Linked DNA regions of Drosophila melanogaster. The protein of the gene in region 1 binds, or shares a complex with, the protein of each later gene. Each region holds a gene or a part of one and is shown in the gene's direction. Other genes may lie near its edges.

Evidence for each region.
Region 2: skd (region 1) and CycC share a complex: the UniProt entries of both Drosophila melanogaster proteins name them as parts of the cdk8 module of the Mediator complex.
Region 3: skd (region 1) and Cdk8 share a complex: the UniProt entries of both Drosophila melanogaster proteins name them as parts of the cdk8 module of the Mediator complex.
Region 4: skd (region 1) and kto share a complex: the UniProt entries of both Drosophila melanogaster proteins name them as parts of the cdk8 module of the Mediator complex.

What each region holds. Positions count from the first base shown.
Region 1 is NT_037436.4:21,021,968-21,030,356, reverse strand, and holds the start of skd (skuld), read left to right. Parts: upstream 1-2,922; 5' UTR 2,923-3,217; exon of another isoform or gene 3,218-3,429; intron 3,430-4,152; exon of another isoform or gene 4,153-4,227; intron 4,228-4,808; 5' UTR 4,809-5,336; coding exon 5,337-5,405; intron 5,406-8,389. Other genes in the region: Pdss2 (decaprenyl diphosphate synthase subunit 2), read right to left, coding at 466-1,272, 1,452-1,641, 1,700-2,049. UniProt on the Drosophila melanogaster protein: Component of the Mediator complex, a coactivator involved in the regulated transcription of nearly all RNA polymerase II-dependent genes.
Region 2 is NT_033777.3:14,885,069-14,892,345, reverse strand, and holds CycC (cyclin C), read left to right. Parts: upstream 1-2,140; 5' UTR 2,141-2,288; coding exon 2,289-2,876; intron 2,877-2,936; coding exon 2,937-3,152; 3' UTR 3,153-3,342; downstream 3,343-7,277. Other genes in the region: UQCR-C1 (Ubiquinol-cytochrome c reductase core protein 1), read right to left, coding at 51-395, 470-561, 623-993, 1,056-1,384, 1,444-1,650, 1,920-1,988; CG33332 (uncharacterized protein), read right to left, coding at 3,387-3,551, 3,612-4,496; CG33331 (uncharacterized protein), read right to left, coding at 4,736-5,764; Rrp6, read left to right, coding at 6,404-6,511, 6,586-6,767, 6,880-7,277. UniProt on the Drosophila melanogaster protein: Component of the Mediator complex, a coactivator involved in regulated gene transcription of nearly all RNA polymerase II-dependent genes.
Region 3 is NT_037436.4:9,834,620-9,842,077, reverse strand, and holds Cdk8 (Cyclin-dependent kinase 8), read left to right. Parts: upstream 1-3,407; 5' UTR 3,408-3,472; coding exon 3,473-3,603; intron 3,604-3,665; coding exon 3,666-4,899; 3' UTR 4,900-4,998; downstream 4,999-7,458. Other genes in the region: RasGAP1 (Ras GTPase activating protein 1), read left to right, coding at 515-1,516; I-2 (Inhibitor-2), read left to right, coding at 5,573-5,869, 5,932-6,029, 6,098-6,265, 6,645-6,739, 6,796-7,070. UniProt on the Drosophila melanogaster protein: Component of the Mediator complex, a coactivator involved in regulated gene transcription of nearly all RNA polymerase II-dependent genes.
Region 4 is NT_037436.4:19,832,899-19,841,430, forward strand, and holds the start of kto (kohtalo), read left to right. Parts: upstream 1-3,715; 5' UTR 3,716-3,777; coding exon 3,778-4,390; intron 4,391-4,451; coding exon 4,452-7,119; intron 7,120-7,193; coding exon 7,194-8,532. Other genes in the region: trc (tricornered), read right to left, coding at 36-245, 712-1,194; CG32221 (uncharacterized protein), read left to right, coding at 1,903-2,392, 2,456-3,147, 3,223-3,339. UniProt on the Drosophila melanogaster protein: Component of the Mediator complex, a coactivator involved in regulated gene transcription of nearly all RNA polymerase II-dependent genes.

The sequences.
Region 1 (8,389 bases):
ATTTAGTTAAATTATGGCTTTGTTACGTTAGGTTGAGATATCACCGGAATTAAACTAATAACATTGATTGTGACGATATTTTTTTTGGAAAATTATTGGCTGCAAATTGGGACTCTTGCCTTGTATTTCAAGGCTGCGAAAAAAATCTTACAGTCTCGAATGTTTCCAAATCCTCCAATTCTATGTTATGTAAATATGAACATACAACCTTTTTTATGACGAACTATATTTTCCCTTATAATAAAAATGAACTTTTGCGATACAAGACGATTTACAAAATATATTTTTGTGACCTTGCACCAAGTATTACTTGAAGTTCAGAAAAATAAAGCATTTAAACTTTACTTTAAATGAATCATTAAAGATTAGTCAACAACGTCTGCTTTACTGAAAAATTACCCAACGGAATAAATACAACTAACCTAAGCCCTGAACCCGTGAAAAATCAGTAACTGCTGCTCGGGATCAAAGATCCTGCATGGCCAGAATGATGTTCTCCAGAGCCTGTCGAGCGTCCGTCGCCGGGAAATGTTGCAGAACGGCCAGGGCAGCGGCTGTGTGCTTCCGCTGCAGTTCCTTGGTTTTGGCCAAAGCCGGCCCGGCCAGAATGGCCTTGTGGATCTTGTCGTAGTCGATGTTATCGACCGACTGCTTGCCAGCCTCCAATTGAGAATACATGCCAGGGTCGTGCTCCAAGTGGAATAGGACTGGAGCACTAACCAGACTGAAAGTAACATCTAGCGGCAGTTGGGGGCACTGAAAAGGTTCGGCATCCAAGCAAGCCTGCCAAGCGAGCGCCAAATGTTTGCCAAAGCGGTAAGCATGTCGCTGCAGTTCCTCACTCTGTCCGGCCAGCTTTAGCGAAGCTTGGCAGGATTTGCCCAGCAGGCTACCCGCATTAAGGATATTACGGCACTCCCATTCCTCCTCCGGATTGCCGAGAACCTGGGCAATCGGCATTGGCGTCATCACGTCGTGCTCGTTGAAATCCACTCCAACGCTGAGAGATGGTCGCTGGAAGGTTCCTGGCTTATAAGGCAGCGGGTTGTTCTGTTCATCACGCTCTCCAATGAATTCCGACTCGGAAAAATCTCGCACCGCCGACGAGATCAGCTCCACCACCTCCTGGTTGCGCAGATTAGCCAGCTCCGCACTGGAATGGCCCAGAAGATAGTCGCCGGTCAGCAGGCCGATCTTGTTGCCAAACGACATGTCGTCGTAGGTGTCCACATCCTGCCCAGCCTGCGTGCTCGATTGCAGATTAACCACGCTCTAAAATGGGACCAAGTGTAAATATTTTTATAATCTATGAGGCATCAGCTCGACCAATGACATATTGATGTTCGTTTCTTGAGTTTCGTCAACTAAATTTGAGGAAAGTTAAACTCATTTGCATACAAACCACTTTCAGTTTACGAGTAACTTTCGAATGCATTTGATCAAAAACTTACATTGTGCACCAGATGAGATATCCGTATCATCTCGGTGACCTCGGCCAAAGCCCTTTGGGAGTGCAGCACTCCGGCACTCTTGTCCTGCTCCACGTCTGGAACACTGGGTGCATGTCCTGCGGCCTTGGACACCAGGAGCACTATCAATCCCCAGGCTTGCATCGTGTTCTTGCCATTGTAGAGCAGGTGCCTGAAGCGGAAGATTCACATAAATTTCAACGCCCTATAAGCCCTTCAGCACCACTCACTTGGCCGTCTTCATCAGCGGATGGGCGCTGCCCACCAGTTTGCGCAGGTGCAGCGCCACATTGGCGATCTCGTCGCTGAGCAGCCAGCGCAGACTGAGGAAGGATGTGGGATAGCCGACGATGCGCTCCGCCTCGCTGACCGCCCTATTCCAGTCGTGTCTCGGGGGCGGGGTCGTAACCTGTGGACTGGCATGCTTTCCACTGGTCGTCGTCGTCGAAGTCCAGCGCTGAGAAGTGAAAGTTTGCAGCGCAGGCGCAGCTTTGGCCACTTGGAGTGGCTGCAGTTCGACGGGAATCCTGCGTCGCATCTGTTGCATAATCCTTAACCCACTGGCGCGGTACATGGCCATTTTCTAGTTATTTTCGCCTACAACACGACTATTTTTTTCAATTGCTTGTATGAAAATCGCGTTTCTTAGCTCCGCTCAGTTAAATCGTTCGTCGAAAAGTGAAATCTTCGAGGTCCGTCGCTGCTTGCGTCTCTGCCGACGTCGCTGTCGGCGTCACCTGCTGCCTACGCTGCTTCTTCTTCTTCCCGGGCGGCCCACTTTTACAGTTGGTCGCTGCTCCGCTCTCAGGTGGCCGCCAAGCGTTCTGTTTGTTTTTATTGCCCCACGCAGTGTCATGGAATTCCGAGGAGGCGGCGCAGGGGGTGTGTAACGGCGGTCTTGAGCGGGAACAGGTTTTCGCACGGCAGCGCCGCTTCGGTGCACACTTTTTGGCCATGGGGAGTACGGTCACTCTTAGGGATGGGAACACAAGTGGCTGGTGTTAGCGATGCAATTGGATGCTAGTGGTGACAAAACACTTATTTGTTTCCATTTTAATAGATTACAAATTCTTCTATTGTACAATTTATTATAGTTTGTATTCACCTTTAAAAAAATTTGTTTTAAGAAGGATCAAACAATCAGTTGACGGAATTGATTCAAACAGAATAAAAATATCTTTTATTTTACACTTCATTCCAATCACTTTACGCATTCGCACCACTTAAACCATTTCATTAAAAGGTTTCTATAACCGTTATTAAATTAAATTTAAGAGATCCTTTATTTATTTATATATAAGATGTGTAATACCTTTGAAGACATAGAACAAATAATTTAAAAAATATACCATTCTAAATTAAGAAGTATTAATTTGTTGTATATTTTGAACTTCCCATTGTGAAGACTTAGTGTTCTGTGGTATTTATTAGTGCTTTTGTGCCACCTCTTTAGTAGTTTTCTGTCTGTGCTAGCTGGCAACACTGGCTCTGCCGCCGACGGCAAGTTTTCCCTCATATTTGTTGCGAATTGTTATAAAAATCGATCGCAGATTTTTCCGTATGCGAATGCGATAGATAAAGTGGCACAAAATGTAAAGATTCAAGACAAGTTTACATCGGTAGTCGGAAAGAACATCAAAAACGGCGATTAAAACGTAGAAAAGTGATCAAAAATGCAAATGCAAAAGCGATTGCCCGAGAAGTGAGAGGGTGTGCGTGTGTGCTGTATGCGTGTATGCGTGCAAGAGGTGCAGCAAATTAAATATAAATAATAATGCCCAAGTGCCGTTGTTTGACAAATAATTGTGGCGCAAAATCATTAAATGATTTTCAAGACGTGTTTAAGCATTGGCAGCGGAAATGTTTAATGGTTTTTAATTGCTCTAGCGGTCGCTGCCCCGGCGGTGTGCCTATGTAGTGTGTGTGTGATTGAAAGAAAGAGGTGGAAAAGGAGGAGAGTGTAAGAAAGAGGAATATGCAACAACTGTGCGATTTTAGTTATCGATGGCATTTTTTTCCGGCTATTTCGAGTGGCCGAAAGTAAAAATCAGAAAATTTGATGTGTACACACACATTACTGCCCAGAAACAGAGAAAACGGTGCGAAAGGAAAACTACGAAAGTGGTTGCTCTGCCATGTAGGTGTATGGTTGATGCGTGTGTGTGTGAGAGGAATGCTGCTGCCCGTCTATGTATCACGTTTCGCACTCTACATATTTGCGTGCGTGTGTGTGCTATGTAGTGTTGTATAGTGCATAATTTATGGAATTTCGGATTTCCTTCGAGTTTCGTTTTAGTTTGAGATTTTTCCCTTAATTTAATCGATCTATGTGCTCGGTCTCTCTCTGTCTGCCTCTCGCTCAAAATGGTTGCATCCCCAAGAGATGCACAAAGAGCGAGCGAGAGCGAGATAAACAGACGCCGACGCCACTAACGCACACGCACACCAATGCATATGCAGTTAGCTGGTAAAACTTGTTTTCTCCCTCTCTCCTCTCTCTCACTCTCTGCTCAGCAAAAAGAGCAAAAGCCGCTATTCGAATTCGGCCGCTACTCGCCCTCTTCTGCTCTCTCGCCACTCGCCGCTGGTACAACTACACTACATACTGGCTATATACCATATATATGGCCGATTCAAAGCTAGGCGAGCAAAATTTCCATTGTGTGTGGCGACCAGCGTTCGCAGTCGGTTCGAAAATTTCTGACTCGTCATTCGTGCGCAAAAAACACTAAATACAACGCAAGAAATTCAAGCCTGAGTAATAGATTAAATATTAATAAATATTTTGAGCTACTGTTGTTTTTCGAAACCAAAAAATAGTCGCAGCTTCGAGTTTTGTGTGTTCACAGTACGTGCGAGTGCATGTGTTGGTGTTTTCCTTGATTACTCATCTTGATTTGCGCTCTATAAATGTGTAGTTCTTTTTGATTAAACATAAATTGGTTGGGTTTGAATTCGAATACAGCCGAAAACTCTTACCTATTTTATTTTGTCTACATCAACGATTAACGAAAATCCAACGACTTTCATCGTCGTTTGTGTGTTTCTAGAAGTAAATGTGTGTGTGCGGTGTATACTCGCTGCCTGTGGCTGAAAAAAGTCAATTTCTGAGTCGCTCTCTCTCTCTGCTTGCTCTCTTTTTGCATGAATGAAACAGCGAATGAACGAACCCTTGTAATTGTGATCTAGATGTGTGTGTGTGATTGAGTGAGTGTAGCAACAAATAAGCAAGTTAAAACAATAAGAAAATTAACTAATAAATGCATCTCTTTCGGAAAAGAAAACATATGCCAAGCGGGAAAAATGTGTGCTCAAAGTCTAATTCTTCTTATATTCCAGCTTTAACCAACAACAACAAAAGCAACATGCTTAATTCTACAGTATGTGTGTTTCATTGCCAAAGCAACGTTTACGCTAACATACTCTCCCCAGAGAGCAGATAAATACAAAATACACATAATAAAAATCAAAACCAAACATCAAATAGCAAATTACAAACAAAATCTAACACCACAACAACAACCACAAAATATCGAAAGTAAAGAAACGAGACGAAAGAGAGCTCTTCATTATTTGTGTATCCGTGTGTGTCGTCTCTCTCGCGTGTGTGTCCGTGCCTATACCGTTGTGTGTGTGTGTGAGAGAGTATTGCTGTGTGCGTGCAGCAGAATCAATAATAAAAAATAAAAATCCAAAATAAAAAGAGCAGAAAAAGCAGCAAGCAAATGTGCAAAATACTACAGAGTATCAAAATCAACAACAAATAACAACACATCGGATAAATAACAATAATAGCAATACACTATAAGCAAACAACGTTGAGAAAATGAGGTGCTGCTGCTGTGCGAAGAAAACAAGCCAAGAACTATGACGCATCAAAATCATCAGACAAACGGCGCAAGTTTGGAGGATTGCCACACAAACTTTTATGCCTTGGTGAGTACTGTGTTGATTTTCTGGGCAATTGTTTCTTATTTTTCGCAATGGGCTTTATTTTTTTTTGCTGCAGTATCTAGGTCAGTGTTGATGATTCAGGAGGGGTTGTTCTCGAGGGGGCTCATTGGCCTGCGGGGGTGTGTCACCCACTCAGAAACAACAATTTACATTACCGATCATGGGATCATCCTCTTCCCCACCCCTCTCTCGCTCGTAATCTCACACTCTTATCGATTGGTAGCCGAAATGTAGGCGCTGCCGGTCAGACACAGCTGTTTGTCGTTATCGCTGCAGAAGCTTCGCAAATATCCTACAGAAACTTAACATGAATGCAGCCACACGAAAATATGTTAAAACCAGATATTGAACTATTTATCATTTCTAATGTTTTACATTATGATGTCATATTTCATTCTTAGGGTCAATTGGCAATCTCTTCTCTTCTTTAATATTTATACATAAAATTGGGGCAATGTACGCACAAAAATTTTGAATGTTGTGATGTTTCAGTGTTTAATAAGTAATTTACTTATCTTTTGGTATGTTGATATCCAACAAATCATTAAATAGCCAAAGTTTAATCACTAAATTGTAATTTTGTTGTTTTTAAAGCAATCAAAACGGTACTGAATTTTTGGTAGAGTGTTAAATTCACTGACCATTTTTTAAAACGTTTAAATTTGTGTATTGCATTTAATTATCACAATTATAAATATACATTTTATAAATGCTCATTGAAATTTTAAACATGTGGATTGTCAAGACACTTAGCTCTTGGAGTATCTAAATAGAATGTTTAGTATGAGGCGTGTAGCTTTCAGTTTTCGGACACGTTCATTCCAACATAGTAAATTTCACGATACTTGTTATTTCTATAAACCTGTAGTAACTGAAAGTAGGAGAATCCGGGTGTTTACTGTAGCAGTAAAAACGGGTGACTTTGTGGCAGCCCACAGCGATTGTTGCTCTGTGACTTTGTGGGTAGCTTTGTGACTGCGGCTCGGTGACTTTGTGGCCCATAACAGGTTCTCCTTTTCCCCGAGACCCAAAGTCGAAACAGAAAACCCAAGACCCGCGACTGAAAACTGAAGACTCGGGGACTACGACTGACGACTAGTTTGTCGGCCCAGCTAGTTAGTGATTGTGCTATTGTCTCTCCGTTTTGGCATATTTCTTTAATGAATCTCGCGTCGAAAGGAGGAGATAGCAGAATGAGAGGGGACGCAGAAGCCGAAAAAATGAAACAGAAAAGCCGAATGAAATAGTCGAGGAAGAAGTGGAGGCGATGACGACGACACGACAATGCGTACAATACAAGTCAACGTGCTTCTGCTCCACTTCCCCGCTCTCTTTATTCCTCTGTGTCTGTTCATGTGTCTGCTTACAACTCTCTTGCAGAGTTTGGAGCAGCAAGAGAGTTGGATAAGTGGGGGGAGAGGGCCGACGCCAACGAAATAACGAAACAATAACAAACGCCAAACTTTCTCTGAGCGAGACGGAGAGCGTGGCGACAGAGCGAGACGGCGCGAGAGAGCAATTTGAACTTGAGAGGCACGCGAGTTAAGTCCGTGATCGAGGGTGGAGCCTTTTGTGAAGATATGATGTGTAAATGTATGAAGGTTTTTAAGTTTCAGCAGATAGTTGTAGTGTGAAGATTTCCAATAAAGAATACGACTGACTTTCTTGAAGTTCAAAATCAGTATGAAGTTTATTGTCAGAGAGTGGCTACTCGAGTCCTCCGTTTTCGTCTTATACATAAGTACATAGGTTCTTAATTGTAAGCATAATGAACATGCCGACTCGGCATGTGGCTGGCTAGCTGGGGACAATGTTGCAGTGCGACTTTTGTGTAATGTCAGCATTCGGCCGGAATGTCAGCATTCGGCCGGATGCGGTGTTCCAGTTGCCGTCTTCCCGGTTGAGTGTCCGATGATTTGTTTAGAGGCGTGGGGGTTTAGGGGGTGGGGTGGTAACTCCTCCCCCCCCAGTTCGAAGTGACGGCCATAGCGAAGGTATGGATGACGCGTAGATTGGTACGTGATGATCCTCGTGGATGTGGACGATGTGTTTCGTTCGTCGGTGCAGCCATAAGATGACTGCTAGGAACGTTACCAATCCGAGCAGAGTGTAGAGTGTCCAGGTGTGCTGTATAGTATTGTGATGGACGGCCAGGATTTTATCCATTGTTTGGGTGGCTTCGAGGTGCAGTTTTTCTAGGCTTAGTACCGTAATAGTGGTATTCCTAGTTACTTTTCGCATGGGGGGAAGATCAAAATCCGTCTGTTCAGGGAACGTGTCAACCGTGCCGTCGTAATCGATACCGTTAATCTGTATTGTTTCGTTAATGTATCTGATGATGGCTGACCCCATTATTGAGAGCTCGGAGCCGTTTGTTAGGGATACCTTCAGTTTGTTCACGTTGAATGCGAAGATGTAACCTCTCTCTGCCTCGAACACGTCGGTGATGGGGCCGGTTTCCCGTACATCGCAGGAACTGTTTTCTCCGTTCAAAAGGTGTTCCAGGCATGTGTTGTTCTGTGGTGTATCAACGTAGAAGTTCTCGTCGCACAAGAATGTATTATCCAGTTTGGGGCATTTACGGGTCATATGAAATTTCTTATTATTAATATTATAAGCTAGGTAATTTGGGGTTATTACAAAATATGTGTTATTTATTGGTAATGGAACTAGTCTGGCGAGGGTATGAAAAGGTTGTTTAAAAATTGGGACTTTGATATTAAAAATAATCTTTTGTTCGTAATTTAGTGTATTCATTTGTAGGAAATTGTATATACTTTGTTCATTTTTGACTGTGATATTTTGTTTTTCCAGTATTGTTTTTATTTTATCCATTTCTTGTTCATTTAGGATGAACTTGGGAATTATATTTATTTTCGCCAATAGCATACTTTCTGTTATGTCGTTTAGGTGGTTAATGAATAATTCTATGTTATAATTAATCCTATTTAAATATTGTATTTCTT
Region 2 (7,277 bases), on another chromosome or scaffold:
TTTTCTTTTGAATTAAACTACAATGTCCAACAACAGCGGGGCGGAACCTCTTAAACCCTCAACCAGTACATGGAGGAGCGGATTCTGTTGTAGTCGGGCAGGTTCTCAACGGGACCCACGGCAGCGACGGCTGGGCACCGATCGTAGATGTACTTCATTGCGACGTCGCGCACATTGCCCACACTCACGGCATCGATGCGCTGCTCCAGCTCGTGCAGCGGGATGCGGCGGTTGTAGCACAGGATCTGGCGGCCAATGTCCTCGCAGATGGGTGTGGTGCCGTCGAGCTGCAGCAGCATGTTGGTCTTCAGAAGGTTCTTGGCGCGCTCGACCTCAGCCTCGGTAACCATGGTGCACAGACGCATCCACTCGGTCTGCACGTTGAAGAGCATATCCTGGGGAAGAGGTTTGTTTACGTAAAATTTGCTTTCTCTCGAGAGTTTTCTGTTGAATCATTAATTCTTCTTACCTCGCACTGCAGAGGGTCGCACACGAAGTAAATGCCCCAGAGTCCGGTGTCCTTGTAGCATGTGTTGAACGATTGGAAGCTGTGGCAAAGGTCTGTAGGGCAATAATAGTTAATAATCTCCATATCCTGGTCGTCTTACTGATGTACACTTACTGTCCTCAGCGCTGGCACGGGCCAGGTTGGAGGCGTTGTTGGCGCCACCGCCTTGGGAACGATCCCAAGCACCCACCAAGGTGTTGGCCACCATCAGGGGGATGTTGTCCTGGTCGGTCCAGCCGCAGCCTTCGACGGCGATGGCGACATGGGCCAGGGGCAGGGAATCGTCGCGCACACGCACCTCGGAGCCGGTGAAGCGGCAGGGAGTCACCTCCGCGGGCAGCACACTGGCCTCCAGGCCACCCAAGCTGCTGCAGGCAAGCTTGACCAGATCATCGTGCTTGACGCCGCCAGCAGCGGCCAGAACGATGCGCGAAGCCTTGTAGTGGGTCTGGATGTAGTCGGTCAGATCGGCCTTGCCAATGGACCTAAATAAATGAAGATTTTAATTAGAGACAGAGCATTTGTTATAAGAGCTGAATATACGTACTGAATGTTCTTGGTGGGTCCCAGGATGGTCTGGCCCAGAGGAGTGCCCTGATAGGCGGTGGCGTGAAGGTGATCGAAGACCACCTCCTGCAGGTTGCTCTCCACCTCCTGCATCTCGCGCAGAATCACCGAACGCTCGCGGGCGATCTCAGCCTCACCCAGCTTGGAGTTCTGGATGATGTCGGCCAGGATCTCGACGGCTTTGGGCACATCCTTGGACAAACACTTGGCGTAGAAGACGGTCTGCTCCCTGGAAGTGTAGGCGTTCAAGTGGGCGCCCAGGTTCTCAACCTCCAGCTCCAAATCCGTTTGCGAGCGCTTGGCGGTACCCTAAAAAGTGGCAGAAACGCATATTATACGCATTTAAAGCATCAAGCTAGTGAGCCAACCTTGAAGGCCATGTGCTCCAGGAAGTGGGCCACTCCGTTGTTCTTCTCGTTCTCGGAGCGCGACCCAGCATCGATCCACAGTCCCACGGTGGCGGTAGAGGCACCGGAATCCTCGCTAGCCACGCGGAGACCGTTGTCCAGCTTGGTCACCTGGGTGGCGGGTATGTTCAGCAGAGTCTTCTGTAGGGTGGCAGCCGACTTGTATCGCTGTAAGTTCGGGAAAATTGGGAAAACTATAGCCCAGAGTTAAGTAAAACACGAACATAACCTCAAAGTGCTTGTAGTGGGTTTTCCAAACAGTTTTCCCAAATATTTGTTTGAAAAACTGGATGGCTCTTGAATAACTGACCAACAAGAGGTTGTTTATCCCTTTTCTCACAAGAATAAACCACAATTGCAACCAAAAACACAATCATTTACAATTACGTAATTTAAATCCTCGGAAGCGTAATCATTGGATGGCTGTCTGGACTTACTTTGATCATGTCAACGCCCCGCATGAAGGAGCGCATATTCTGCGTCACGCCAAGAACTCGCAACGCCATCGTTTTATTAATTCGTTCAATAGCCTATTACTAAAAAATATTTAAGACTTTTTCGTCTGTGGCCGCGGCGCTGATGAAAAATTCACACACACACACCAATGTACTGCGCTGCGCAAAGTTGGCTGCGGCCAGTCAGCTGTTCGTGGAAAATAGCCCTGGTGTGCACACACTGGCTGAAACGGCAACACAATTTTTTCGTTTTTCCTGGTTTTCCGGCTTGCTATTGAAATAAACACCTAATTTGGATAGCTAACACGAAAATATTGGCCGACCTAATCAGCTAGGCCTACTAGTTACGAAATGGCGGGCAATTTTTGGCAGAGTTCGCACTCGCAGCAGTGGATTTTGGACAAACCCGATCTGCTCCGGGAGCGTCAGCACGATTTGTTGGCCCTTAACGAGGATGAATACCAAAAGGTGTTTATTTTCTTCGCAAATGTGATCCAGGTGCTCGGCGAGCAGCTAAAGCTGAGGCAACAGGTCATCGCCACGGCGACGGTTTACTTCAAGAGATTCTATGCGAGGAACTCCCTGAAGAACATCGATCCTCTGCTGCTGGCGCCCACTTGCATCTTGCTGGCCTCGAAGGTGGAGGAGTTCGGTGTCATTTCCAATTCACGACTGATCTCGATCTGCCAGTCGGCCATTAAGACAAAGTTCAGCTATGCGTACGCTCAGGAGTTTCCCTACCGCACCAATCACATCCTGGAGTGCGAGTTTTACCTGCTGGAGAACCTGGATTGCTGCTTGATTGTCTACCAGCCGTACAGACCGCTGCTGCAGCTGGTTCAGGACATGGGCCAGGAGGACCAGTTGCTCACCCTGAGCTGGCGTATCGTAAACGATTCCCTGCGCACCGATGTCTGCCTGCTCTATCCTCCTTACCAGGTTTGTGATCCTGATAATTTCTACAGCTTCCTCACATTTGAAGAACCTATTTTTTTCTAGATCGCTATAGCCTGCCTTCAAATCGCCTGCGTCATCCTGCAAAAGGACGCCACGAAGCAGTGGTTCGCAGAATTGAATGTTGATTTAGACAAGGTCCAGGAGATCGTGCGCGCCATTGTAAATCTGTACGAGTTGTGGAAGGACTGGAAGGAAAAGGACGAGATTCAGATGCTGCTGTCCAAGATTCCGAAACCGAAACCACCGCCTCAGCGTTAGAAGAGCTTCATAATCATTCATCATTAGCTGGTATTGCCCAATTGTGTGTTTGTACTCATATTACCAATGTATTTATGCCAATTAAACGAAAGTTTAAGCTAGGTGACTAAGCAATCAAAAATGTCATTTACAAATTATTTTGCCTTTATAATAATTATTTCTAAATTAAATTACATAATTGCTTAAGATTAACATGCGGTACGGATCGTCTGGATTTTTTATGGTTCATTTAACCTACAGATACTTAGCTTGACCCCTGGAGAACTTGGTGTTCAATATCTTGGCCTTGTCTACAATCTGCTTGGTCTGATTCTTGTCGATCTTGTTAAGTTTCAAGTCCACATCCCTACTAAAAGGTCTTCGTTCTGGCTTGGAACCCGATGCAGCCAGTTCTTTTTCCTTAAATTTATAACAATATTATATCCATATTATGTTTTTAAGAAATATTTTTCCTCGTACCTTTTCTCTCTGCTCTTTCCTAAGCTTTTTTTGATGTAGCTCCACTAGGGACTCCTCTCGCTTGTGCTTCTTTTTGTGCCTCTTGGCCATGCTCTCCTGCTCGTCATCCCGCTGCTGTTCGTACTTGACCTGTGCCATTTGCTCGAGTTCCTTCGAACTGAGCGACTTTGGGCCCGATGCAGCAGCATCCGCTTCACTCTGCGGGGTCTTCGTCCAGGATGATCGATCGCTAAAGTCGGGTCGCTCTTTTCCCTGATAGAAAGTGCGCTTCATATTGCTCAGGGCGGCAAGGCCGCTCTTCAGTCCCACATCTGGCAGCTCAAGCATCCACTCTTCGCGGACATCTTGGTCTGTAGATGTACCCAATCCCCCGCCCTCCAGAGCTGCCAGTTTAAGTGCCAAAGCACGTTCCTCCAGAGCCACTTGACTGGCATTTGGCAGAGGACCAAAGGTGCCAGCTAGGTCATCATCGTCCTCAGCTTCCGCTTCCTTAGTAGGAGACTTTTCCCGGGTCAAATTGCTGGGCAGGACGGGTCCTATCATGGCCTGCGGTTGTGGGGCTGGTTGGCTTTGCTCAGGGAGTTCCGGCTGCTGGGTCTTCCTTAAATGCGGCGGTAAAGCGGGACCAAAGGAATCTTCGTTGTTTGTAGCCACATCTGGCGGAGATGCATTAATTAAATGTGGAGGTTGCGTGTAAGGCACAGGTGGCTCCTCCTCATGCTTGCTGCGTTTCTTCTCCTTGTGGCGACGCTTTTCTTTCTTGTGCTTTTTCGACTTCTTCTTTTTGGACTTGTCCACATCTTTGCTGTGCTTCTTAAGCTTCCGTTTCCTTTGCCTTTCATCGCTGGACGAATTGCTATCACTACTATTGTCGTCGCTGGACATGATCTGCAAATACAATTAATGAAATAATAAGTAAACCAAGATATTCCTGAGGTTATAAAGAGGTCCATTGGATGTGAAAAGAGAGAATCCCCAAGAAAACTCAGGTCTTTGGATTGGGCTAAACATTATATTGCAGTTAACAACTTTAAAGCTTAAAAGTATTTAACAAAATGCAGCTGGATGGGACAACTTAGTCGGTAGAATGATTGGCAGCCAGGGGATTAACCCGAAAAATAAACCTAAACAGCGAATGTCTTTTGAGCCTTGCGATAGCTATACGCCAATGACTTGAGAATGCCAGCACTGGGAATATTTTTGATCGATTGCGTGACACTGCTGCGCCACACAATGTCGTTGACGGATGCCTGCAGCACCTCCGGAAGCTGGGAGGCCATGGATAGGTGATTCACCACCTGGGTGTAGTCGCCACGACAGGCGGCATTTCGCTGCAATCGCTTCTGAAGCTCTCGGGGCAACTGTCGCAGGTGTTGGCATGTAGCCGATGAGGATTTGTCCTGCTCGAAGATTATGGCTGGTTTCCGGCTCCCTGGTTCCTGGCCCTTCATGTTTACCGCCACATAGTCGGAAAGTTGTCCCAGGGAGGGTTGGTATAGGGCGAAGAAGTCATTGATTTGCGGACTAACTATGTTGTGCACTTTCTGTTTGTTTTCCCCGAAAATCATACGGAAATCGCCCTTGTAACTCAGTCCGGCGATGGTGTGGAAAAGTCCGTAGGCAGTGAACTTCTCTGGTAAAAGTAGCAGAGCCACTTGCAGCGCGGATACAAGATTCCTCTCCAGCGCAGCCTTGAGGGGAGGATTATCAGAAGGATTGACCAGATTCGTCACTGGTTTGTGCAGCCTTCCTGCCAAGTAAAGATGCCGCCAGTCAAGCAGATCCTCCAGCAGCTCCTCCTGCGACACCACGCCGTACTTTATGGTAATGCCCACATCTGGCAGAGGCACCAACGTGTTGCAATAGACACCCGCACCCAAACGCTCCTGATACTTGGCCACAAAGTTCGGTCCCAGGTGCCTAAGGGCGGAATAGTGGTCCGGATGACGGTGCAGGTTCTCCGCATGGAAGCCCCTAGCATCACGAACGCAAAAGACCAGATCCACAACGGTTCCCGGCGGAGGACGCAGGTTGTTTCCATTGCCGACTTTTCCATAGCCTTCCTGCTGTTTGACGCCGGATCCGTAGGCGAACATATAGCTGACACTGCCCAGAGGAAACCGCGCCACCGTGCGTCTGTATAGGTCCAGCATCTTGTGCGTGTTTTACCTCCTAATTGGACTAAACTTAGGCTTTATAATTACTTTTTTTTTAGCACGTAACTCCACTTCTTCTGGATGGAGTTGATGCTTCTCGGTCAAGCTCCTCGCTTTTCGCCGGCGCCGGAGGGGTGTACACACTGGCAATCAGCTGGCTGAAAATTTTGTTCAGGGTTTCACTTGAACAATTTAGCGCCCTCTTGAAAAAATAAAAGAAAAGACCAAATATTTAACAAAGAAAATATTTATTCAGTTTAATTTATATTGAAAGGAATATATATTTAGTTCAATATAATAATAACATTTTGCTTTTAAAAAGAATTTGTAAAGTATTGTTCATCAAAGCAGGTTCTGTTTACGGTTTAACATAACGAAATATCACCATTCCAAATTTGGCTAACATTTGTAAAATACACCTTCATATCGATTTAATTCGATTGCGGTCAGCACCGTTTTAGTGCTATATAGTGATCAAATTTCGCCGCCGGTAGTGTTGACAAACTCCAAATTCAAGCTGTTGTTATTCTCAAAAAAGAAGAAGAGAAAACACGCACATTTTCCACAATCTGTAAAACGACAAAAAATTTGTACGAAAATAACACAAGACATTCGACAAGGAAACACTATACAGACATGCCGCGAACCCCGAAAAGAGTTCACCAGGAGGCCAAAGAGGAATCGGCCCAAGCAGACCAGCCGCCAAAGAAATCCGCTTCAGAAGATGTTGAGGCATTCACAAACGTGGGTAGCAATTCAGCCAGCGTACATAAGTATATTTCAATCCAATCCCTACGTGTTCTGCTCTGACATTCCAGAAAGGGTTCAAGAATGCAATCGCCGCCACAAAAGCCGCTAATGCTTTCCCACAAGGAACAGCCCGCGCCCTTTACCTAAGCTATCCAGGCTACGCACGTGTTATGGAAGACCTGACCCAACGGGTGGTGGCGCTCATCGGGAACGTGCTGCACTCCAAGGACATCAAGGGCGACATCAAAAAGTAAGCTTCTAACCATGACATTATTCGAAATGTTGAAAATACAGCACAGCCATTGAAATCAAAGTTGGTACCTGTATCTGTAAATAACAATAGATCTTTATTCTTTAAACAGACGCCAACCGGAAGAGCAGTTTGAGATGGTGCAGGAGTGCAACGACGTACTGTTCGAGCGCATTACGACTAATCTAGACATTAAAGGTGGTCTGCGAAGAAATACACAACAGGTCGTAGAGGCCCAGGTGGACGTGATGAGCAGCTCCACATCCATAGAGCCCGCAGTAGCTTCCCCACAAACCCAAGGGACTCCAAAGGCAGGCAGCTGGAACAGAACGACAGGAACACCCCAACGCAGCATGGTTTCGGCTCGTCTCTTCACCGCCAAGAACATCGTTCGGCCGCAGACGCAATTTAGGGAGCCGGTGGATAACAGTGCCCAGAATCCGTTTGTTCCAAGACTCAAGGAGAAACCTAATTCTCTTAAACCGCTGGCCCTGCTGCCCGAATACGATG
Region 3 (7,458 bases), about 11 Mb from region 1:
TCCGGCGGCAAGCTCATGACTGAACGATGTGACTCTGTGTGGGCGTAGAGCAGTGGCTGCTAATCGATGGCGGCAGCAGGCAGGCCCATCCTCGGCGACAGTGAAAACCGAACCTCCAGTCAGTTGCCCGCGAAACTTTCACTAATCACTCACAGAGTTTTGTGTGGCAAATGACAAGTTGCGGCAATTAAAAATAATTAGCATTATTATGCAGATGAACTGGCGGAGCTCCGCTTTGCGTACGCTATTGTTATTGCCATTTGAAGGTAGTAAGGCAAAAAAGGGAAATTTCAAAACCTAGAAACCAATGCAGCCGACGCAGAAGAGAATCGTCAACGTGGGTGCGATTTCTTGGCGTTACGTTTTCTTATTTTTTAACGCAGCCAAGATGTGGGAATTGTCTCAGCCAGCGATTTCACTTGGGTGCGATTGTTTTGCAATTGCGCCGCGCACAGAATTTATGTTAATTGCACAAAGATGAGACTAAGATTTACTTTCGCCTCTTCTCCCACAGATTGTGCACAACGATCGCTCGCTGATTGTGCAGACAACGAACTGCGTGGAGGAGCGCGAGTGGTTCGACCTGCTGCACAAGATATGTCTGATGAACTCCATCCGGATGCAGTACTTCCATCCCTCGGCCTTTGTAAGTGGATTCTACAGCTGCTGCGGCCGGTCGGATGAGAATTCACCGGGCTGTAAGAAGGTGTTGGACAAGACGATGGACTACTTCCAGATGGATTTAGTAACGGCGCTGGATCCAGCGCTCGATCTGCAGCGCATCCACACGCTGATCATGTCTAACATGAGTGTGCTGGAGTCACTGCTAGATCCGCTCACCTATCACCAGTCTCTGTCGCAGACGCAACACCAACAGCACAATCCTCTGGTGCCGCTGGCCACCGATCTGCAGAAGCATTCACCACAGGCCTTCGCTGAGTTCAAGCGAACGATTGAGAAGCTGAGAGAGAAGGCCTATGCCATCGATAGAGATCATCGGGACTACAAGCAGGGCATTACGCGGCAACTGAAATACGGCAGCAGACAGGCACCCATTGGCGATGATAACTATTGGCATATGATGCGAGCCGCCGGCCAGTTGAATCAGCAGCATCACCAGCAGCAGCAACATCAGCAGCAACAGCAACAGCAGCAGCAGCAGCAACTTCAGCAGTTCCAGCCGCAGCCAGTGCTGCCGCAAATGCAGAACGTTCGGGCGTATCCTTATCAGCCAGCTACGAGCAACATGAACGCCTACTGTCTGCACAACATGCAGTATCAGCAGCAGAGATTGCCGTTCCATCAGCAGCAACAGCAGCACCATCAGCAGCTCCAGCAACAGCAGTCGCAGTTCCAGCCCCTGCGCAGCCATCAACTGCAGCGCCACAACAACAATTTGAACAACAATAACTGCGGCAATGGATCCTCCTCCAGTCCATCATCGACCACATCAAGTGTGGTGGCCGCACCGCCCAGCACCACATCGTCATCGCAGCCAGCTCCACCGATTTATTAGCGTTCAAGGCTGTGCGTATTCGCTTTGCCGCGGGCCATTATCACGACCAGGTAAAGGAATACGCATCGATGTGGCAAACACAACCCCCTACCGCTCCTACGCAACCAGAGGATGCTGCTGTACAAAACGATTAATTGTGCTAATTTCTAGGCTCTTGTTTTTTTTTGTATCATTTTTACGAGTTTAACGTTGTAAAGGTCTAGACTAAGTTTTTTTAATTAACAGTTTTTATACACCAGATTTTTACGGTACCGCCTACACCAGCTACAACAACACGAGGAGAAAACAAGAGGAACGGAAACGAAATCTAAATATTTATAAGCCTATTTATTTTTTTGTATGTGCTAACATTATTTTTACACGAAAACAAAATACCCAATATGGAAAGAGCATTTCTATACTTGTGTGAGCGCAAAGAGGGCAGAGAACCACTGAAAACTGATAACTTTATAAGCCTAAACTACTAAAAACTCAGAAACTGCTAAGATTTTTTAAAGCCTAGCCTAAGTTAAGTATCGGCGGGATGATGAGTAGCGAAATGAAAATGAAAAGATGTAAATAGCAGATACACGAGTATATATATATCCCACAGTATGTATGTACATGTGTATGATTAACTTCATTATACCAGTTAATTTAGGCGTAGCAAAAATTTCTAAAAAATCAACTAAACTAGGCGTTTTGCCCAGAGGCGACACACGCGAAAAGCAAATAATTCTAACGCAATCTGAACGCGAGAAAAATACTGCGAAAAGCATGAAAAAAACATACATTTACATGTATATTTACTTTATATAACTGTCATACAGCTAATGTTAAACAACACACGATATGTATTCGGCAAATTCTAGAATACAAACAAAAAGCATTGTTAAGAACAAATTTACTTCCATTTTGCATATACAAACACATACGCACGCACACCTATATTTATTAAATGCATTTAATTTCATATTAAACTTAAAACGAAAAACAAGTTAATTGTTACACAAACACGATTTGGTTAGCTTCGACTTACTTCCACCGATTTGTTTCCAAAGCTCTTCCATATTAATTACACATGTAATTTACATCTAGAACTAGAATGTTAAATAATCTAATTTTTGCCATATTTAGTTCAGTGTTCATCAATCGCATTGAAAAGTGTCTTCCTTCGCCGCGTTCAATCATATTGCCTTTTGTTTATGCATTCCAATCCAATAATTTGTGCATTTCTTAATTCTAATATCTGCATAATGTACATAGAGATACGAAACGGAGAAAGAAACACGACGAGATGTTGCTATGAATTTAAATTGTTTGGAGTTTCCAACGTGGTTCATATACATATAATTTCACTTGCATTTTAAGGACACAATTATAGTTTACTTTTACCATGCCTAGCTGATAAGTTGTTGGTACAAAGAATCGAAAATAAAAACATAGATATTTTCCAAGGGAAAAATAAAGCGTATCGCCAATGGATAAATTTTGATTTCGTTTTCTTTTGAGTTTATTATTGATAGAGCTTTCATATTTTATTGTGATAGGATTATACAAGCACCTTGTCAAGTACTATTGGATTACCTATTTTTCTATATAACATCCAATATATATGTATTTGATTTGGTTCAGAATTCAAAAATATTTAGGGGGATTATATTTCTATTTTCTTTCTTTCTTTAGAAACAAGTTTTTTTTTTACGAGGTTGAATGAAATATACAGAAAGTTTTTCTGGCTTTGCTTGTTTGTGGATACAATAGAATTTTTTAAACAGTAAACAAAAAATTAAAAAAAACAAAATTATAAAAAAATGTTTTCTGTTTTAAAAGGCTAGCTATAAAAAAAGCTAGGTATGGCGAGCACTGTTCCCATTTTCCATCCCTGGTTAAGGCTGTGTTATCGTTATCGGGAGACAGCTGATTGGCGGCATCTTCATTTACAAACAATTGTGGAATTTGCAAACTTTTGTAAAAATGGACTACGATTTCAAGATGAAAACGCAGATAGAGCGTACGAAAGTGGAGGACCTATTCAACTACGAGGGCTGTAAGGTGGGACGCGGAACATACGGCCACGTCTACAAGGCGAAATGGAAGGAGACAAGGTGAACTGGTCATCGGGTGCTCTTCAAACAATATAAATAATTATAGTATTCATGTTCTTTAGCGATGGCAAAGAATATGCCTTGAAGCAGATCGACGGCACCGGATTGTCCATGTCCGCCTGCCGCGAGATCGCATTGCTGCGCGAACTGAAGCATCAGAACGTAATTACCCTCATCCGGGTGTTTCTGTCGCACAACGACCGCAAGGTGTTCCTGTTGATCGACTATGCGGAGCACGACCTGTGGCACATCATTAAGTTCCATCGGGCTGCTAAGGCCACCAAAAAGCAGGTTGTGGTTCCCCGCGGTATGGTTAAAAGTCTGCTATATCAGATTCTGGATGGGATTCACTATCTGCACAGTAATTGGGTGCTACATCGTGACCTGAAGCCGGCCAACATCCTGGTGATGGGCGATGGCAACGAGAGGGGCCGCGTAAAAATCGCCGACATGGGTTTCGCGCGGCTCTTCAATGCCCCATTGAAACCGCTGGCAGATCTGGATCCCGTGGTGGTTACCTTTTGGTATCGCGCTCCGGAACTGCTGCTTGGCGCTCGTCACTACACCAAGGCTATCGACATCTGGGCTATTGGCTGTATTTTCGCCGAACTACTCACTTCGGAGCCCATCTTCCATTGCCGCCAGGAGGACATAAAGACCAGTAATCCGTACCATCACGATCAGCTAGACCGCATCTTCAATGTGATGGGCTTTCCGCAGGACAAGGACTGGGAGGATATCAAGAAGATGCCGGAACATCATACGCTGACAAAGGACTTTAAACGCTCCACATACTCCACCTGCTCGCTGGCCAAATACATGGAAAGGCACAAAATAAAGCCAGACAGCAAGGCCTTTCACCTGCTGCAGAAGCTGCTGCTAATGGATCCCAACAAGCGCATCACCTCCGAACAGGCCATGCAGGATCAGTACTTCCAGGAGGAGCCGCAGCCCACGCAGGACGTGTTCGCCGGCTGCCCCATACCGTATCCCAAGCGTGAATTCCTCACCGACGACGACCAGGAAGATAAGTCGGATAATAAGCGACAGCAGCAACAGCAGCAGCAACAACAGCAGCAACAGCAGCAGCAACAGCAGCAGCAACAACAACAGCAGCAGCAGCAGCAGCAAATGAACGCTGAGCCGAATGCAAAGAGAGTTCGATTGTCCGGAGCTGGTAACCAGCAAGATTTTCACCACCAGCAGCAGCAGCAACAGCAGCAGCAGCAACAACAGCAGCAGCAGCAGCAACAGATGATGTTCAATCAGCAGCAGAACTTCCAGCGCTTCAACTGAGAGACTGATACATGCAGCATTTTTTCTACAACACCTACTAATTTCTAGCCTTCTAAGTATTTAATTTAATGACCTTGATAATAGCAAGTAAAGTGTACGATATAAAACGTTGATTTTTAATGGACAGGGTTTTCTTTATTTAATTTTGTGAACTCCAATTAACTCAAATTCGTTGAAATATCTTTCCGAAGGATATTCAAAAATAAATTTGAATGCATGTTCTTTCCTCTCAAAAATGAATTTCTCAAACGAAGTTTTGAAAACTATTTTTAAAATTGGTTCGAGTCTGAGCTATTTATTTAAAGCATGTTATGTTTTTGTGTCGGCTTGGGTCACGATACGCAAGTATCGATTAAATGTAATCGAAGGTGCCATCGCTGTGTTGCCAGCTCTAGTAGAATTTGTTAGAATATTTTACCGGATTTGCCATTTGCTTTGCAATACAAATTAGAAGAGAATATCCACACAGTGACCATTAAAGCGTAAAGAGCCAAATCTAACGTTTTCCAAATTAAGATCAAAACCGCCCGTCTGGCGACATCGATGAGATCGTGGCCCTCGCCCAAAACCCAGCTGGCTGCCAACTTGAAGATTGTGGCGTAAATTGCCCTCCGGAAACGCAGTTGCAATTGCAGTTAACAGGCGAAAGTCACACAAGTAAGTGGGATTCGGAATGGAGGCGGTGGTGCAGGCGGAGGCGGACGACAACAATGCGTCGGATGTCCAGCGGGGTGTTGGTGGGGCATTGCTGGCCGTAGTGGCCACCCAGTGGGCGGCAATGGCAACCCCTCCAAGGGCACGAGGTTTCGCCGCGACCTGTGCCATTATAATCTGGCGAACATCGCGATTTCAGTGCCTGTTCGGCTACTGCCGCCGTGATTCACGATTGTCCAGCAGCAACAGTGGCAGCAGCAACAGAAACAACAACCATAAAATCTACGAAATCATCAATGACTCCCAACCGCCTGACGTAATTATCCGCGTGCATTGTTCGCAACTAAAGCACACTCTGGTCTTTGCCCATTGTTACAGGTAACACAGATAGCCAGGATGCAGAACAATCCCAGCCCACAGCTACCCTGCAAGGGTATACTAAAGACTTCGCGTAGCTTCGACAAGTCGGGAGCCAGGTGAGGTCATCGAATGACCCCAGTTAATAGCCCTTATTAATTGGTTTCTTTTTCATCCTTTTAAAAAGTTTTCGCAAAAGTGCCAAGTTCGATGAGCTGAACGTGATGCAGACCTTCCATCCGGCCGACAAGGACTACGGACACATGAAAATCGATGAGCCCAAAACGCCGTACAACTACACGGAGGGCTTCGACGAGAACAGGGACGAGCTGGACACGGAGTTGCTAGTGGAGAAGTATGTGGAGCTTTCCTATTGTTTACTTGCTAAATGGTTTGGCAAGAGCACAGAGTATCAAGTTTCAAACAAAACTGATTTCCAGAAAATGCGCCGTTCACATTTGTTTGTTTACATGTGACTTATAGATTCAGAGATTAAACAATCGTTGATAATTATACGATTTGCAAAATGATAATCAAATATATCAACATTATTGAGCAATATGACTGCCTCAGATTTCTTAAGAATATAACTAGCTAAATTCATAATCAATAATTTGTTTGAAAAGAAAAAGTTTTTTTTGAAATTTGAAGACTTATTTTAAAGCCGTGCCAGTCATTTTGTAGTTTACATATTATTGCACTTACAATTACTAAAAACACATACTAATTTGCAGACTCCGCATAGCGGCTAACACACAGCCGTCGACAGAGAGCATCGAGGACGATGGTTCCTCCGGTGATGACCAGCCCCTTAGCGAAGAGGAGCGACGTAAGTACCATGAACATCTCAGATTCCAACAATTGCTCAAACATATTTGCTTGCAGAACGGCGGCGCGAATTCGAGCGACGCCGTAAGGCCCACTATCGCGAGTTTGAGGCCGTCAAACTGGCACGAAAACTGATCCAGGAGGAGGACGACGACGATGACGACGAGGACAAGGGTGCGGATAGCCGGCCCTCGGGCTCGTCACAGGGCGCTTCCAGCTCCGGACGTTTCGCGAGCAGTTCGACCAAACGGTCGAGCTCTCAGGCTGACTCCACCACATCCCCGTCTACCAGCGCCGGCCAGAACATGGACCTGGAGCCATCGAATAACTAGAAGCAATGTCAACCCATCAATCAATCACTAATGTTTACCTAGCGGACAATGGACGATTCTGAGGGCAGCTCATCCAAAACAATAAACAAACGAAATTATATCAAATTATCAAGTGCTGTGCGAGTGCGGAGTGAGAAGTGGATGCTGATTAGCAGGGTGGCGAGGAGCACTCGTGATTAATTGAATTTACCCAACTAAACACAAAAAACAAACCGTCGCCAAGGAGATGCGTCATCGAGTAGTGAACACAGCCGATAAGCCGAGGGGCACTTTATTGTTGCAAATTGAGTTTAGAGCACAAAGAATGTGCACCTGGTCGGAGAATTTGATTGTACGACACAAAATATAATTAATCGTATGCGTCTCAGCCGTAGCGTCCTGTATTGTT
Region 4 (8,532 bases), 1.2 Mb from region 1:
AGTGGGCTCATCTCAATTATCTGGATTCCACTTACCTTCAGATGCCCTCGCGCGTCCAGCAGCAAGTTATCGGGCTTGATATCCCTGTGTATGAAACCGAGTTTGTGAATAGAATCGATCGCCAATGCCGTCTCACTGATATAGAACTGTGTGCCCTCCTCGGATAGCGTGTCCTTCTTCATCAAAAGCGTCATCATATCACCACCAGGCAAGAACTCCATTATCAAATATAAATTGACGGGATCCTGTGGAAAGATATTTCAAAAACATTCTCACATTATTACTGAGTAAGAAAATACTTATATATGAATGCAATTGTATTTACATTCATTGTACAATAATTGTAATATGCAAAAATATCTTATTAAACAAATATTTAACGTCAGAGAAATGGCGATTCAGTGTAGGCTGGTTCGCCTGTGTCAAGAACTTTCACCGAGAAGAAGTTGACAAAAGAGAATCGAGAAAAAAACAACAAAGGCGGCCCACGCAGAGAATGAGAGAGGAAGCGAGAGAGCAAGAGAGACGTGACCATATGATTGGCAAAGGCGCTTTTGGCATTTGCCGTTGTATTGGTTTATTGATTTTTTTGTCCGTGTTTTAACACAATTCTTTTGTTATGTGCGCTGCCGCCCGCTCCTTCACCCCATCACCCTTTCTCCCACCCACCCTATATCATTGTTTTTGTTGTAGCTGGCGCTCGTCACTCACCTGGAAACTGTAGTACATCTTCACCACCCACTGATGATCGGCCTCGACCAGGACATCGCGCTCGGCTCGTACGTGTGCCACCTGCTCCTTTTCCAGCATGTCCGCTTTGCGCAGCACCTTCATGGCGTACACATGTCCCGTGTCCTTTTTCTGCACCAAACGCACTTCACCGAACGCGCCGCGTCCGATGACTTTGAGGGCCTCAAAGTCCTCCACACCGAGGCGCAATCGCTTCAGCCGGAGATACTCCGTCTCCTTCTGGGCATGCTGCAGACGCTTCTCCTGGCGCTGCGCCTCCGACAAGCTCTCGTCCTTCAGCTGAGCCTCCAGCTTTGCGAGGCGCTGCTTTCGCTCGCCATACTGCGTCACCAGGTTGCTGTAGTAGTTCTCCAACGTCACCTTGGCCTTGGTGGCCTTGTCCAGTGTGTGGTCGCTGAATCTGATCGAGGCACCGTCCGCGTCCTGCGTTCTGCTGCTCATCATCTAAGCTGGGGTTTTTGTCCTGGTCACCTCGGTCCTATTTGGGGCTTGTGTGTGTGCTCCCTGCGATGTCGGTGCGTGTGCGTGTGTGTGGTGAGGAGTTATGCACTTGCCAATGCACACACACTGCTTTCTTCGCCCGTTTCTTGCCTTTTTCCTCGGTAATTTGTTGAAATTCCTCCCTCTGCTGCTTCTTCTTCAAGAGCCATTCGCATTTTGCATCCCCAACAAAGCAAAGTTGGCTGCGATCCAGTGGGGCTATCGATAGCTAATCGATTGATTTTAGAACTTTAGTGCTTTTGGCTCGCAGATAGTCATGACAATTAAGCTTTCACCGACAATTGTATAAAATTTATGTACTGAAATTACGTTACTTATTACTTACATTGATTTTTTTAATTAAAATTGATTAAATTTAAATTTATTTAAATTTACTTTAAGGTCATGTTATTATTTACTGTAATTCTATTAAGAAACAAAGCTTAAACAATAGTTAAAATATCTTAGCTTTAACCTTTTAGCTTGAATCTTGCCAAAAGACTCTTACTTCGAAAATTGTCATCACTGCCACCAGTCCAATTAGTAAATAAATAGAACTTACCGACTTGGGATAAATTTTTCCATGTCAGGCGTACATAAACCAGTTGCCTTTGCTAATCTGGCCATTTGGCGCCTGTGACGGTCCCGCGCAATGAGCATAGTCAGCTAATAATGGCCCGCATCACCAGTATTCTGGACTTGGACCCCAGTTCTCTGTTGTTCATCTTCAAGCTTCTAAGCTTGGAGGACCAGTTGCACTTGGCGCGATGCTGTCGCATTTTTAGGGATGCCTTTCTTCGCCTGCATCGCCATGATTTCCAGGATGTTGTTGACAAGGATATGAGTATAAGGACTCTGGAGGATTGGCGCACCTTTCTGTGGCTCTGTGGCAGTCGCATCGGTACACTGGAATCCCACTTTGACGATGATCACCCGCTGCAGCTGCTCCCGATGATCAGCAGACACTGCTACCGACTGAAGTCCATCTCTATATACAATGCAACAGTGGCACGGGCGCAACCGTATTTATTGAGGATGAGCTCCCTGGAAAAGGTGCACGTGCGTAACTACAAGAGCACCAGCAAGGATCTAATAAAAGCCATTGGGATACACCTTCCGCGGGTCAACAGTCTGAGCCTGGAGAGCTTTGAACGCAAGGAGTGTAAGAACTATTTAATGTTCACCTTATCACAACAATATTATTTAATTGCTTCTCCCTTCACAGTACAAGAAGTACGTCAGTTTAGCGAGATGCTGGAACTTGGCTTGTACGACGACGTGACCGCCTCGGAATTCGCAACAATTGTGAAACCCATGAGGAAGCTGCGATGCCTTCAGCTGCGCAACGCCAAACGCTTTCTGACTACCAGCAATCTCAGGATGCTGGCCACCAACTGCCGCCACCTGGAGAAGCTGACGTTCAATGACTGCGACGCCGATCTGTTGGTCCTGCCGCAGTTTGTAAACCTCAAGTACCTGCAATTATACTGCTCGGAGGATATGAAAACGCGCCTGTTCAAGGCACTGGCCAAAAGCCAGTGCTCCATTCAGTTGGAATACCTCATCCTGCACCGCAAACGCTGGATTGACGAGGAGCAGGCGCAGTACATCAGTGCTTTGAAGTGTCTCCGGTGGCTGGTCTGCAAGCCTCGTGACGATCTGTGTGTTCACCACTTGGCGAAGTTGAGTCGATTAGAGTGCCTTTCCATACAGTCCGCTCGTGAGATTGGAGAAACGCAGCTCTCCCTTTTGGTGGCCAACAATGAGCGCCTTCGGTATCTGAACATTTGCTATTGCCTGGGCATCACAGACGCCTTCGTCTTGGACACGCTGGCCAGCTTATCGAAACGCTCAGCTCATCAAACCCTAGAGCTATTTGCCGCGGCCACTGACATTAGGCATGACATCATGGAACGGGTGAGTAATATTTAAAGCACATACATATATTCGAAAGTCCTTATGTTAATGTGACACTTTGTGCTTCGTTTGCAGCTACCGCACGAATTTCCCCTGAAAATGCTCTGTTTGAACTTCGAGTGCAGCGATGGAATGACAAGCGGCGGACACTTTTATGCCGATGAGCCGGAATTCGATCGCCAAGCCTTGTGAGGCCTTATTCGTTTAACAACGAATGTTTCTTCAATCATTACCAAAAATACAACGTAAATTATTTAATATTTATACGCAGCTTTATTCGTGATCTTACCACTTTGAGTGGTATTTCTTTTGTTAGTGCACAACGATGTAACTTTTTCACTGCATAATTAAAAAATTACGTCATATTTAAAGTACTGTATCAGGTTGATTGGGGATGTGTGGCTGAACATGATAAGATTACATTTGTAATATTTACAACCATTTAACACTTAGCTTAAATTCGATTGCATCCGCTAGATTGTTCGCGGGATGTTATCGAACTATCGATGGCTCATCGCATTTTTTCGCCCCACCACTGATATTTTGATTTGTTGTTGGGTTGGCGAACAGAGGAAATCGGGAATTCGCTAAGAAAATCTGTTTATAAAACGCAACTAGAGGGCCGCGAAGATGCTGTCCATGCTGCAGGAGAAGCGTCCGCTGAAGCGCACCCGTCTGGGTCCGCCGGACATCTATCCGCAGGACGCGAAGCAGCGAGAGGACGAGCTGACGCCCACGAATGTGAAGCACGGATTCACGACGACGCCACCGCTGTCCGATGAATTCGGTACGGCCCACAACTCGAATGTGAACGCCAGCAAAGTGAGCGCATTCTTTAGCGGCGTCCTGGCCAAGAAGGAGGAGCTGATGACCCTGCCGGACACGGGGCGCAAGAAGCAGCAGATCAACTGCAAGGACAACTTCTGGCCCGTTTCGCCGCGTCGCAAGTGTACGGTGGACGCCTGGTTTAAGGACCTCGCCGGTAACAAACCCCTACTTAGCCTAGCCAAACGGGCTCCATCGTTCAACAAGAAGGAGGAGATCTTCATTACTCTGTGCGAGAACCAGGTGAACATGCAACGCGCCACCTGGTTCATCAAGCTGAGCGCCGCCTATACGCTTAGCTTCACCGAGTCTAAGAACAAAAAGCGATCCATTTACGACCCGGCTGCCGAGTGGACCGGCAACATGATCAAGTTCATGAAAGAGCTGCTTCCCAAGCTCCAAGAGTATTATCAGCAGAGTGAGTACAGTCCTTAAGTTCTATAATCTATCAACTCCCTTATTCAACTTCTTGATTTTAGACCACGACAAGTCCTCTTCGAATGGCACCACTTCCGGAAGCCTGACCGCCGCCGGTAATGGTCCTGCCAGCAATGGCTCCACTGGCACCAGCTCTATTAACTCCGTCACCGGTAGCAGTGCTTCCACGAACGTAATCCCGGTACCCAGCATGGCCAGTCCACTGCCACCGATTCATAGCCCAGCTAATGGCCAACAGGCAGCTCCTGGCGGAGGAGTGAATGCCGGCAGTGTCATGCCGACGACGGGAAGCCTTGGCGGAGTAGTCGGTGGGCCGGGGTCTTCTGTGGTAGGAGGCGCAGCGGGTGCAGGAGCTGCAGTTCCACCAGGCTCTACAATTTCTGGAATTGGAAGCCAGTTCGAAGATAGTCGCAATGCGCTTAAGTATTGGAAATACTGCCACCAATTGAGCAAGTACATGTACGAGGAATCACTTTTGGACCGACAGGAATTTCTAAACTGGATCCTCGACCTTTTGGACAAGATGCGTACGCAGGCAAGCTTCGACGAACCGTTGAAGAAATTGGTGCTCAGCTTTGCCCTTCAGTACATGCACGACTTCGTCCAGTCGGAGCGTCTTTGCAGAAAGATGGCCTACATAGTGTCCAAAAAACTGGCCCAGTTGCTGAACACTGTCGTAGAACAGCAGACCATCAAAGAGTTGGACGAGCCGAAGTTGCAACAAGATCCCTATGAGCTGGCGCTTCAGGAACAAATGAGTTGTCCCCATCATCGGGATATAGTGCTGTATTTAAGCACGATCCTACAGATCATCACAATCGAGTGCCCCACAGCTCTGGTCTGGAGTGGGATAGCAGCTCACCGAGCACCCTCCTCGTTGTTGGGTAGTCCGCTGGACCATTTGCCTTTGGCGCCCTCAGTCTTGCCGATGCCCACACGCTGTCCGCGAACCAATCACGAGATTCGACGTCAATTGCGGGCCGCCGAGTCGGACATCGTATTGCGCACTCAGCATGCAGAGCAGCGCTGGTTTGCAGCCAAGTGGCTGAGTGCCGGCAAGAATCAATACACCAGTGTGCTGGCTACACTGGACCACTTGGACACGCACTGCTTCGATCGCATGGAACACAATAATAGTATCGATACCCTATACGCACAAATATTTCCCAGCCCAACTGTCAGTCGCAGGCGGGAGGAGGATCAGGTGGAACCTCGTCCGCCTTATGAACCCAAACAAGACAAGGACACGGTACGCATTCTGTGCGAGTGGGCTGTGTCGGGGCAGCGTTGGGGAGAACACAGAGCCATGGTGGTGGCCATTCTACTTGACAAGCGCCAGATCGACGTGACAAGCACGCCGGCGGATCAACAATCCAGTGATAAGGATGACAAGGACTCGCTAGCTTCGGGCGCCGGCTTAATTGATGGCCTGCCTGTGTTTCAGCACGTGTTAATGCACTTCCTTGACCACGATGCTCCCGTCCTCGATGAGCACGTGAGCAGTCCACAGCAGCGCACGGAATTTACCAACCTTGTTCAGCTGTTCAGTGCATTGATTCGCCACGATGTCTTTTCGCACAACGCGTACATGCACACTCTAATTTCACGAGGAGATCTGCTCCTGGAGTCGGTGCTGGTGATCAAATCAGGAACAACGGCCACGAAAACATCGCCGCCACCTCCAGCTCCACCACCAACGACGACGCACGGTTTCGATGATGACGGATTCGGCGGGGGCCTGGACTTCAAACACAACGAATTTGATGATTCCAATGTGGACGACGATTTGGACAAACTGGTGCAAAATATTAAGGAGAAAGGACAACAGCACGAAGCTCCAGACAGTCCCAAGATTGGTCCTCCAGGCGATGGAGAAACCAATCCTGGCGGTAGCATATCGCGGCATTACGTGTACACCAAGCACTTCCCCATCCCCCAGGATGATCCCAGCATGAGCAGCTACAGCAGTGAAAGCAACCAGCGATACATCCTGCTCTTCGGAGTCGGCAAAGAGAGGGACGAGAAGAAGCATGCTGTCAAGAAGATGTCTAAGGAAATTGGAAAGCTTTTCACAAAAAAGTTTAGCATAGATGTGGCGGCGGCCGGTCATGTGAAGAAGCACTCGCGCAACGAGTTTAACTTCGAAGCTACCACGTCCAAGTGCCAGCAGATGGCTTATTTCGACCAGCATGTGGTCACAGCCCAATGTGCGGCCAATGTCCTGGAGCAGCTGAACGGATTCGCGTTAGGGAACAACAACTACCTGCCGGTACAGGAGCACGTGGCGTTCCTCTTTGATCTGATGGAGCTGGCTCTTAATATCTACAGTCTTTTGGAACTGTGCGATAGTCTGTTGAAGGAGTTGCCTGAGGTGGAGCACCAGTTGCAGCTAAAGAAGTCAAACCTAGTGCGCAGTTACACCACTTCACTTGCCCTCTACATCGTCAGCATCCTGCGGCGCTACCACAGCTGCCTTCTTCTTTCACCGGAGCAGACGCTGTCTGTTTTTGAGGGAGTCTGTCGTACCATTCGGCACGTATCGAATCCGAGTGAGTGCACTTCGGCGGAGCGCTGCATTATTGCCTACCTGAGCGACCTACACGAGTCGTGTGTTTTGCTCCAGGGAAAGGAACAATCCACGGAGTACTACCAGCAGCTGCAGTGCATCAAGCGGTTCAAGGACATATTCAACACTCCAGAGCAGCTTGAGTGAGTTTAGATCGCAAGTTCTTCCCCAATAATATAATATATAATATTAACAAATATTACCATTTTTTATTTAGCCTACCACCTCAGGGTTACAACCCACTGTTGTTGCAGGAGCTTTTCATGGCCCCTCGACGCGGTGGTAAACTGGATCCTCACTGGCTGGGAACCCTGCACGAGTCGCCGGCCAATGTATACAGTTTCGTGTCTAACGCATTAATAGCCGTCTGCCGAGAGACGGACAACGAGCGGCTGAACGATGTGGCCCTCGCATGTGCCGAACTGACCGCCAGCTGCAACGTCTTGTCTGAGGAGTGGATATACGCACTGCAGAGTCTGTGCAGCGGCAGTAAGAGTCCGCGTTATCCGCACCTGGGCGGACAGGTCGACATTGGACAACTTAAGACTCACAACGCCCTGGCCGTGTTCGTATGCATTCTGGTGGCCAGACATTGCTTCTCACTAGCCGACTTTGTAAGTAAGTTCGCCCTGCCTACATTGGCCCGATCGGTAAGCGCTGGTGGAGCCGAACTGAGTGTAGATGCAGAGGCAGGTGCTCGTCTTACATGTCACTTGGTGCTGAAGCTGTTTAAGACCTTGGAGATTCCTCAACCTGGCATGTACTCGGTAAGCACTTCCCCGAATCCACTGCACGCTGTGGGAAACGACTTTAGCATTCGGCTGAGCTGCGATCGTCATCTTCTGGTGGGTGCCCATAAGACCATTCCCATTGCCGCAGTGCTTGCCGTGCTCAAGGCCATTCTCATTGTTGTGGACAATGCGGCGCTTAAAACACCATTGGCTTCCGGCAGCGGCACCTCCTCTGGCGGATTGGGCGGAGCTTTTGGAAGCGGCAAGCGTAGTGGCTTCAATACACCGGTCCATCCGGGAAGCACACCCAAGAGCAACGAACAACGACCGGCCGATCTCAGCCAGATCCTGGGCACCAGCGATTTACAATTGGGCAGCAGTTTGACAAGCGAACCCGAAGCCCTGCAACAGCCATCGGTCGGAGGAATGGAGCAGATCTCGCTGTTGGAGTTCGCCCAGGCGGTGCTCAAGCAGATCTGCGCCCAGGAACACGTTCTGGAAAGATGCCTAAAGAACGCAGAGCAACTCTGCGACATGATAATCGACGAAATGCTGACCGCGAAACAGGCACAGCGGGTTCTGCACATGATCTGCTATCCGGAGCCTGAGTTTAACATCATCTCCGAACTGGATCAGCGCTCAATGATCGTACGCATACTAGAGAATCTCGGACAGTGGACACTGCGTATCTCGTGGCTGGATCTTCAGCTTATGTACCGCCAATCGCTGAGCAACAACGCGGAGCTTAATGTTTGGCTCGACACAGTGGCACGCGCGGCAATCGACGTCTTCCACATGGAGGAAGTTGTCCTGCCGGGTGCCGTG